Ovis aries: one gene and its partner. The main gene of each other region encodes a partner of the protein of the gene in region 2 in a complex. Links are inferred from orthologs where the notes say so. Each region holds a gene or a part of one and is shown on either strand. Other genes may lie near its edges.

What was found. The genes of interacting proteins can lie anywhere in the genome.
Region 1: the proteins of TNKS2 (region 2) and SH3BP2 are in contact, whole or in part, in a crystal structure (PDB 3TWR), measured with the Homo sapiens proteins. The link is inferred for Ovis aries from reciprocal best matches to the Homo sapiens genes TNKS2 and SH3BP2. Residues at the interface, in NP_079511.1 of Homo sapiens: Arg525, Ser527, His531, Phe532, Gly535, Tyr536, Asn537, Arg538, Leu560, Asn565, Ser568, Tyr569, His571, Asp589, Trp591, Phe593, Glu598, Lys604; in NP_001116153.1 of Homo sapiens: Leu413, Gln414, Arg415, Ser416, Pro417, Pro418, Asp419, Gly420, Gln421, Ser422, Arg424.

The regions. Positions count from the first base shown.
Region 1 is NC_056059.1:116,647,356-116,651,857, forward strand, and holds the start of SH3BP2 (SH3 domain-binding protein 2), read right to left. Parts: upstream 3,193-4,502; 5' UTR 3,065-3,192; coding exon 2,966-3,064; intron 1-2,965. UniProt on the Homo sapiens protein: Binds differentially to the SH3 domains of certain proteins of signal transduction pathways. Binds to phosphatidylinositols; linking the hemopoietic tyrosine kinase fes to the cytoplasmic membrane in a phosphorylation dependent mechanism.
Region 2 is NC_056075.1:13,182,413-13,186,383, reverse strand, and holds part of TNKS2 (poly [ADP-ribose] polymerase tankyrase-2), read right to left. Parts: intron 3,933-3,971; coding exon 3,767-3,932; intron 3,112-3,766; coding exon 2,892-3,111; intron 1-2,891. UniProt on the Homo sapiens protein: Poly-ADP-ribosyltransferase involved in various processes such as Wnt signaling pathway, telomere length and vesicle trafficking.

The sequences.
Region 1 (4,502 bases), on a different chromosome or scaffold from region 2:
ACTAAACACGCCGTGTGCCACACCTAAGACCCGGCGCAGGCAACTTTTTTCTTTTTTTTTAAGAACATTCAACAAACTAGGAGTAGGAGGAAATTTCCTCAACCTGGTGAAGAACATCAGTGAAAAACCCTGAGCTAACATCACGATCAGTGGTGAGTGACCGAAAGCTTCCTCTCCAGGGAGGAACAAGGGAAGGACATTTTTATTCACCATTGAGCCAGAGTTTTGTTCACCATTGAGCCAGAGTTTCCAGGAAGAAGAAGTAAGAGTTTGCAGGAAGAAGAAATAAGAGCTATGTGGATTGGAAAAGAAAAAGCAAAACTGTTCAGAGATTAGGTGGTCAGGAAAAACCCCAGGGATCCACTAAAGAATGTTTAGAAATAGTAAACAAGCTCAGCAAGGCAGCAGGACAGCAGATGGGCACACAAAACTCCGTCGTATTTCTCTCCGCCAGCAACAATCCGAAAACGAGACAGGAGCTAGCTCAGCTTTCCCTTCTTCAGGGGTCCTCCCCGACCTAAGAGGGGGCACCCGGGCACAGAAGGAGCACCAGGCTGTCCCACGGGAGGAGCAAAATGCTGCTGCCCTGGGTGGTGGGGACTGCAGGTGGCCTGGAAGCCGCAGCAAGTGGACACGGAGCCCCCAGCCCACTCCAGTCTGTAAGGAGACCTGGAATCTTTGTTGGGGCGGGGGCGCTGGAGGCAGAGCTGAGGACTGACGGGGCCCACCCCTCCTTCTGGCTCCGCACCTGGAGGGGAAAAAGCTGGGGCGGCCCCGCAGTCCCACCCTGGTGAGCTCGGCGGCCAGGCGGGCACAGGCCTGGGAAGGGCTTGGTCTCACCTGGCCGAGGACCCTCTGCTCCTGGTGTCCACCGGTTGGCCGGGCAGCAGGCCTGCCTGTGCTCCACTGTCACCTCCCCTGGGAGCGTCCCTGCCTCAGCGACAGACACCCCCGTTCCGCCGCTCCCCTCCAGAGGGTGGACCGTGGCAGGGCCGGCTTGTCCTGAGGCCCCTGCATCCTCTGGGCCCCCGGCCCTGCCCCGCCACGCTGGGACCTGCCCAGGAGCCCAGCGCCAGGTAGCTCTCTGGTCTCTGCTCCGTGCTAACCCCCACCTTCTCTGAAAGCTGAGACTGGTCTGTGGGACCGAGGCCCGAGGCTGCAGCACCGGAGCAGAGCAGGCAGGTAAAAACCGCTCCTCCTCGCAAAGATGGCCCCACTGGGCTCCAGGAAGTGCAGGCTCTGTGGCTCCCCCTCCCCCTGGCTTGTGAGTCCCCAGGGCATGTGGCCATCCCCGGCAGAGGCCCACACACCCAGCCACTGTCATGGACTGCACGCCCAGGCAAGATGCATGCGTGAGCCGCGCGGCGTGGGCGAGAAGGTTCTGTGCGTGCTCTTCGGCCTGTGTGCACACACGTGTGCTGTGTGAACCAGTGCACGAGAGCAGGGCTCGCTCGGCTCCCCTAACACCTGCAGACCTGCGGCCCTGGCTGTGGCGAGGGAGCCAGCGCCTCGTGCGACCGCAGCGCTAGGGGTTCCTGTCAGTGGTCACCGGCTGCCCAGCTGCAAGCGCCGCAGAGAGGGGAGGCCTGGGCTCCCAGGGTCCCAGGGGGGAAGAGACCGGGTCCCCAGGGCGGTCATTCGCACACTCGCAACTACGCACACACTCACTCGCCACAGGCACACGTGCGTGCTTATACACGCATGCCTGAAGATGCACACTCACTCACACCTACCTGTACACACTCATACATGCCATGTCCACACATGCCCTCCAGTGCACACACAGACTCGCTCAGCTGCTCACACTCACACACAGGCACACGCTCACCCACACGTGTGCATGCTCACGTTCATTCTTACGTGTGTTCACCCTCACACACACCAGTTTGCACTCAAACATACAGACACGCACCGACTCCCACGTGGTGTGCTCACACACACAGCCTCCAGGGGCTGAGAGGACCCTCTGTGGGAGACCCTGTGCCCTGGGCAAGGCAGCCTGGGTGCAGATGAGAGCCACCAGCACCTCCCCACAGCCCTGCACCCGTCCAGCGCCGGGCCTGACCGCTCCTTAAACCGCACAGTGCTGCTCCACCCCCAGGTCACGGGCCCGCACAGGGCACCCCGGGCGCACACTGTGTGCCAGGCCCCATGCTCCTCGGGGATCGCCCACGTCACCACCCCACCCCAGCCCCCCCGACGTGTGAACCAGCGTCGTGCCCACTGGTGAAGACAGCGAGGGTCAGAGATGCTGAGTAACTCCCAAGCCACACGGCCCTGCCGCCCCCAGCCGGGCACACAGCAGGCGCTAGGTGGCGCCTGAGGGGCAGGGCCCAGCCCCTCTGGGTTCAGTCTCCCCTTTCAATTGCTCCTCCCCCTTCCTCTTCCCTGAATCTTTCTCCATAAAAGAATGGAAACCAAAAGAAAAAACCATCTTCCACGAAGGCCAGTGAGCAGCCGCGCCAGGGGAAGGGAGGAAGCACGACCCGCGGTGGGGTCCCTGAGACCCTGAGGCTCTTGAGCCCCCCGCCAGGCACTCCTGCACAGGGCATGGCGCTCCAGGAAGGGGGTGGGGGGGCCGGCAGGCGACCGGGCTCACACAGCTCTGCATTCCTCCAGTGCAGGCACACTCACACACACCATCACACTCACAGCATGTGCACCCAGGACCCAGTGTCCACACCCCCCGGGCAGGGCAGGATGTCCGCTGGAAGGCCCACGCTTACCCGGGGCCTTCTGCAGGCTGCCGGCCGAGCGGCGCAGGCCCTGGGCTCCCACCAGCTGTCCCGTCCACCCCTGGCCTTGCCTCTCCTCCTGGGGCTCGGGGCCAGGGTCCTGTGCATCCCGCTGCCGCCACCCCAAGGAGGGTGGGTCCGGGCTCGCACGCGGGCCCCCCAGAGCAGCTCTACAGGTGCTGGGCCGGCACAAGCTCCCAAGTCCCCTGGGCCGGGTCCGCCCCACTGACCTGGTGGCGCTGAGCCAGCACATGGCTCTCTTCCTGCCTGCTGACGGCCTCGGGGCAGGTGTCCTGGGGTCTAGGAAGGCCATGCGGCTCAGGGGCCATGGGGTGGGGCTTCGGCCAGCATCCCCAGGCAGGTGAGGCGCCTGCTCGCGCCTGCTGACAGCCGCCCGCTGCCTGTGTCTGGGCCCTATGGCCGCTGGGGCTCCTCCCCGCCCAGGACTTCCTGCTGCGGGGGCCCTGGGCAGCCCCGGGTAGCCAGCACTTCCTGTGAGGCCCAGTGCTGCCTGGCCTGCTGGCTTTCAGCCGTGCCCACTGTGGGCAGGCCCCAGGATGAGGCCAGCTGTGACCACCCCCCGCCTCAGGGAGGAAGCCCCTTGGCAGGGTCCCGTCCCCACCCCAAGGCCACCTCTGCAGATTGGGCTTCTTCCCAGCGAATCGGGAGCCCCAAATTCCAGGGCATCAAGCCCGGCTTCCCTGGCCCCAAAGACAGCCGCACACGAAGTCACGACCTTCCCGGGGCGCCCCATGGGCCAGAACACAGACTCTGCCATGCAGCTCCGCCTCCGGAGGCCACTGTGATACAGGGGCCCACGCCTCTCACACCAGGAGACTTTCACGTGTCAAAGTGGCTGCCTCTCTGTCCTCTGACCCCAAGGGACGAAGAACGGATGGGATACCAGCCTTCCCTCCATGCTCCCCAGGCCTCTCTGCCCCTCCCACGCCCACGCCAGGCACAGCCTCTGTGACACAGCTGGGCTCACACACCCCAACGGGGCACACTCGCAGCTCCCCAGCAAACACCTGGCTTGCTAGAAAGCACTTACACCCCGAGTGGCCAAGCGTGCTCCATCACTGCCTGGTCCCTGCCCGGGTCCCACTCACAATGCAGCCCACCCACGCACCCTAGGCCTGCTCTGCCCCTCTAAGCTGGGCTCCCTCCCCCACCCAGGAAGCTGGGAGCGAGGAGTCCAGCCCAAGCTGCTGGGCACTGAGCCCCATGCCCACTGCCTCCCCTCCCCTCCCCTAAGCTCCAGTCTCAAGGTCCATCCCCGCCCCCACTCCCAGCACCAGCTGGGGGATGGAGCACTTTGGGGCCATGCGGCTGCAGGGTCTGAGGGGACCGGCGAGTCCTCAGACACTGCAGAAGCTCGTCCTGTCCAGCCCAGCAGCTGTCCCAGGGCAAGCACCTACAGCCGGCCTGCCAGCACCTGGTCGCACACACATCTGGGTGTCCGGCTCGGGCCTCAGACACACACCCCCGCCCCGCCCCGCCGTCTCCTGGATGGGGGACTTGGGTTTGTGCGTCGTCACTCTCCTCAGGGGGCACCCTGGCCTCCCCTGCCAGCGTCGGCCTCCGTGCCCGCCAGGGTCCGTGGGCAGACTGCGCCTACGGCAGACAGCTGACCACAGCCCAGGGGCAAAGGGTGGCAGGGAGGTCAAGGGGGGCCTCCTCCCGTCCATCCTCACAGCCTGCCCAGAGTGGGGAGCAGGCCCCAGCCAGCCTCTGTCCTGTGCAGGCAGAGGTGGGAGCAGGCAGAGG
Region 2 (3,971 bases):
TTAATATAAAAATAGCTACATATATGTATATATCTATTTCTAAAAGATAGGATTTTTAAAATAAGAGATTTTATAGAAGTCTGAAATTCTCCAATGGAATCTATTAAAGATTCAGCTTATGAAAAAAAATTGCCCACTGGCCTCAAGTTGGAAGTTTTCAGAGATGAAATTCATTTCTTTTTGAGATTCTAAAGTTATAGTGGTTGATTTACTTAAATCGTTTCTTTTAAAACCTTCTTACCAAAGTCCCTGCCTTCATGGTTATTGTATATACAACTTCCTGAACTCAGGTAAATGGTCTCAAGGCTGCAAGCAAAAGGCATCCAATCATACAAAAATGAAGTTAGGAACAGAAGTGGCTGGCAGAGCAGAAGACAACACATCAGTGGGTCTTGGGGTCCCACTTCCTCAGAAGATCACAAAGACATGCTTTTTGCCAGAGAGAATGTAAGGGAACACATCTCTGTGGGCAGCAGAATCCACTGCTGCTAAAGCCATGAAGTAGTAAGGCTGAGTATTTTATAAATGTACTATAATCCCCCAGCTGTCATCTGGGGAACCGACAGCTATCTTAGTACGTGTTCTTGGTAAAAAAAAAAAAAAAAAAAAAAAAGTATGTATTGATATATTGTATCTGACACATAATCATAGTTTGAAAGCAAATCTGGAATTTAACTTTGCCAACATAAAATCAGCTATCACTTGATACTTTAAAAAGCTCAAAGTATATAATTCATTCACTTTTACTGAAGTTTTCAGCCTTTGCTGAGATATCTAAAGCAAAAAAAAAAATTTCAGTAAGATCAAGAAAAACAAAGCTACCATAAGCTAAATACACCAAATCCAAAGTCCTTCCATGTCTCAAAGCATACTGCTACATAAGTGAGAAACATTCTGTGTGTACAATGTATTTGTCACTCACAAAGATAACACCGACTTACAAAGTAATACTCAGTGTTCTAGATAAGCTACCATAAAGATTCAAAGCCTATGTAAATAACTATGCACAGCGCAATCCAAATCTGAGATCAGGCCACATTTTCTCTTACATGGACTACTGACTCCTGATTGCCAGAGGAAGAAAAGTCTTACCTCACTTTGTTAGCATTTGTGGTTTATCACTTCCAAAATGCTCTACAAGACACAGAGATGGAGCAATTCTTACCCTTGGCCTGTGGGGTCCCAACTCACAAGGGGTCATAATTTAAAGGTCTAAACCATAAACACTAAAATGATCTCTTATGGGATTTAGCTGGTGAAAATGGCTGAGACTCTGTGCTTCCATTGTAGGGGGCCTGGGTTTGATACCTGGTTGGGAAACTAAGATCCTGCATGCCACACCAGGCATGGCCAAAAAATAAAAAAATTCCCTAGGAACATAGTTGCTCACGATGTGAGACTGAAAGGAAGTGAGAGAAGAGTACTTCCCACATTACACAAAGTGGCAGAAACACCTACATTCCTTTTTTCTCTCTTTAAACCATGTATATTTATATGAATCTCTATGGGTCAAACATGCCTATGATGCAACTCCACTAAAAGACTGGAAGCTCAGTGCTTTTAATGACCCATTCCCTAGCAACTTTTTCTTCTTTTTTTAAAGGTTTATGAATTTTTATTTAAAAATTAGTACTATTTTTTGGCCACGAGGCATGTGGGATCTTAGTTCTCTGATCTGGGACTGAACCCATGCCCCTGGAGTGGAAGCACAGAGTCTTAACCTCTAGACTGCCAGGGAAGTCCTGCTAGCACCTCCAGTGCAGCTCAGAAAGCTGTGCTGAAATCACAGTGCTGCACTACACGCAGGGAAGACAAAGACAGACTGTGCCAGTTTCATGGGTGAAACTCAAAACAAAAGTTAGGTACTCAACTATATCCCCCAAATTTCCCGTGGTGAAGCCCTAATCATTAGTACCTTAGAATGTGACTGTACTTGAAGACAAAGCCTTTTAAGAGATAATTCAGTTAAAACAGGGCCGTGAGGGTCAGCCCTAATTCAGCATAAGAGGAGGAAGTCAGGACAGAGAAGACACCAGGGATGCACATATACACAGAAAAGGCCATGTGAGGACTCAGACAGAGGTGGCCATCTGCAAGCCACGGACTGAGGCCTCAGAAAAAACCTATCCTGCCAACATTTCCAAAGCTGAGAAAATACATTTCTGTTGTTTAAGCCACCTAGTCTGTGGCAATCTGTTAAGGCAGGCCTTACAAACTAAAACAAAAAATAACAAGAATTTTATGTAACTTTTGGAAGTCTAAAGCCTTTTTTCTGCTTCCATTTAACAACTATCATTAGAAGAATGGAAAATTTTAACTTCCCATCAGGAAGGCTGACTCAAGCAGGCATATTTTTAAAGCTTCTACAGTGAAAACACATTCACCAAAGATGATTCAAACAACATGATGACTTGGAATAAAGGTTGTAAAGCACATGCTCTGTTGCTGCTGCTGCTAAGTCACTTCAGTCGTGTCCGACTCCGTGTGATCCCATAGATCCCCTGTCCCTGGCAAGAACACTGGAGCGGGTTGCCATTTCCTCTCCAATGCATGAAAGTGAAAAGTGAAAGGGAAGTCGCTCAGTCATGCCCGACTCTTCGCGACCCCATGGACTGCAGCCTACCAGGGATTTTCCAGGCAAGAGTACTGGAGTGGGGTGCCATTGCCTTCTCTGAAGCACATGGAGACTGGCAAAGCCTCTTTCAATTATTCTTACTAAATGCAAATTGCTATACTCAAGAGAACACGGGCCTGTACAAACACGCTAGCGTATAATGGTATTAGAAGACGCCTGAGTCAAATCTTTCAAATTTACTTACAGGAAATATTTTACTCAGGTAAAATGAATTTTAGATGTACCAGCCTAAATCTGTGACACTTCATTCACCTACCTGCTAAATGTAAGGGTGTCGAATGTCGGCCTTGTGTATCACGGCAATTTACATTATCTGGTGAAGACAATTTCTTTACTCTGGCTAAACAACCCTTCTTGGCAGCATCCAATAAAGCTGCATCTCCCCTAAGTAGATCTTGAATATCTGTATCTCCTTCTTTAACCAGATCCAAAGGAGTATTTCCATCTCTGTTTTTCTTTGTGGGGTCTGCACCATGCTGGGCATGTGAAAACCAGAAAGGGAAGGTTTGGCTTAAGTTTGCCTTTGGATAACGAGAAAACAGTCAATCTATTTTATACAGAGACTCTGCCTTAAGGGTTAACAGGACTGTTAACAATGCTTAATACACAAAAAATTACAATAAAAAATACACACTTAAATGCTACTGAGCTTTAATAATGCAAGAATATAACCAAAATTTTAAACTACGTTCAAAACAAACTATTTCATTAAAGATTACCTTTCACATATGCTATTTTTAGTTTTCACAAACATTTCAATGTTTGTATAAAGTATAAATTTAACTACAGTTGTGTTTTTACTGTAAAATACCTACACTGGTACCAGTGCAGATACCAACGTACTATCAGTTTCATTATTGCTAAATAAACCTGGCTTATAGTGTTTATAACATTTATTTATTTATTTATTTATTTATTTTTTAGTTTTTTATTTTTAAAATTTTAAAATCTTTAATTCTTACATGCGTTCCCAAACATGAACCCCCCTCCCACCTCCCTGTTTATGACATTTATTCTGAAGTCTAGGTACAGGATTAGTTCTGCTTCCTATCCCTTTACTATTAAAGTTTGGAGTTACAAGTAATATAATATTCTACATTATATACCCTGTCCGTAAATACTTGAATATACCTGAAGCAGAAGTTTGCAAATTTCATATTTTCCTTTGGCTGCAGCTTCATGTAAAGGTGTGAATTTCCATAAGTCAGCTACATTAACCACTGCTCCATGCTTAACAAGAAGTTCTGCAACTTCATAATGTCCATAAGAACATGCATTGTGCAAAGGTACAAGGCCTCTGAAATGAAAGTTAAATAAAAAACACAACACAAAGATA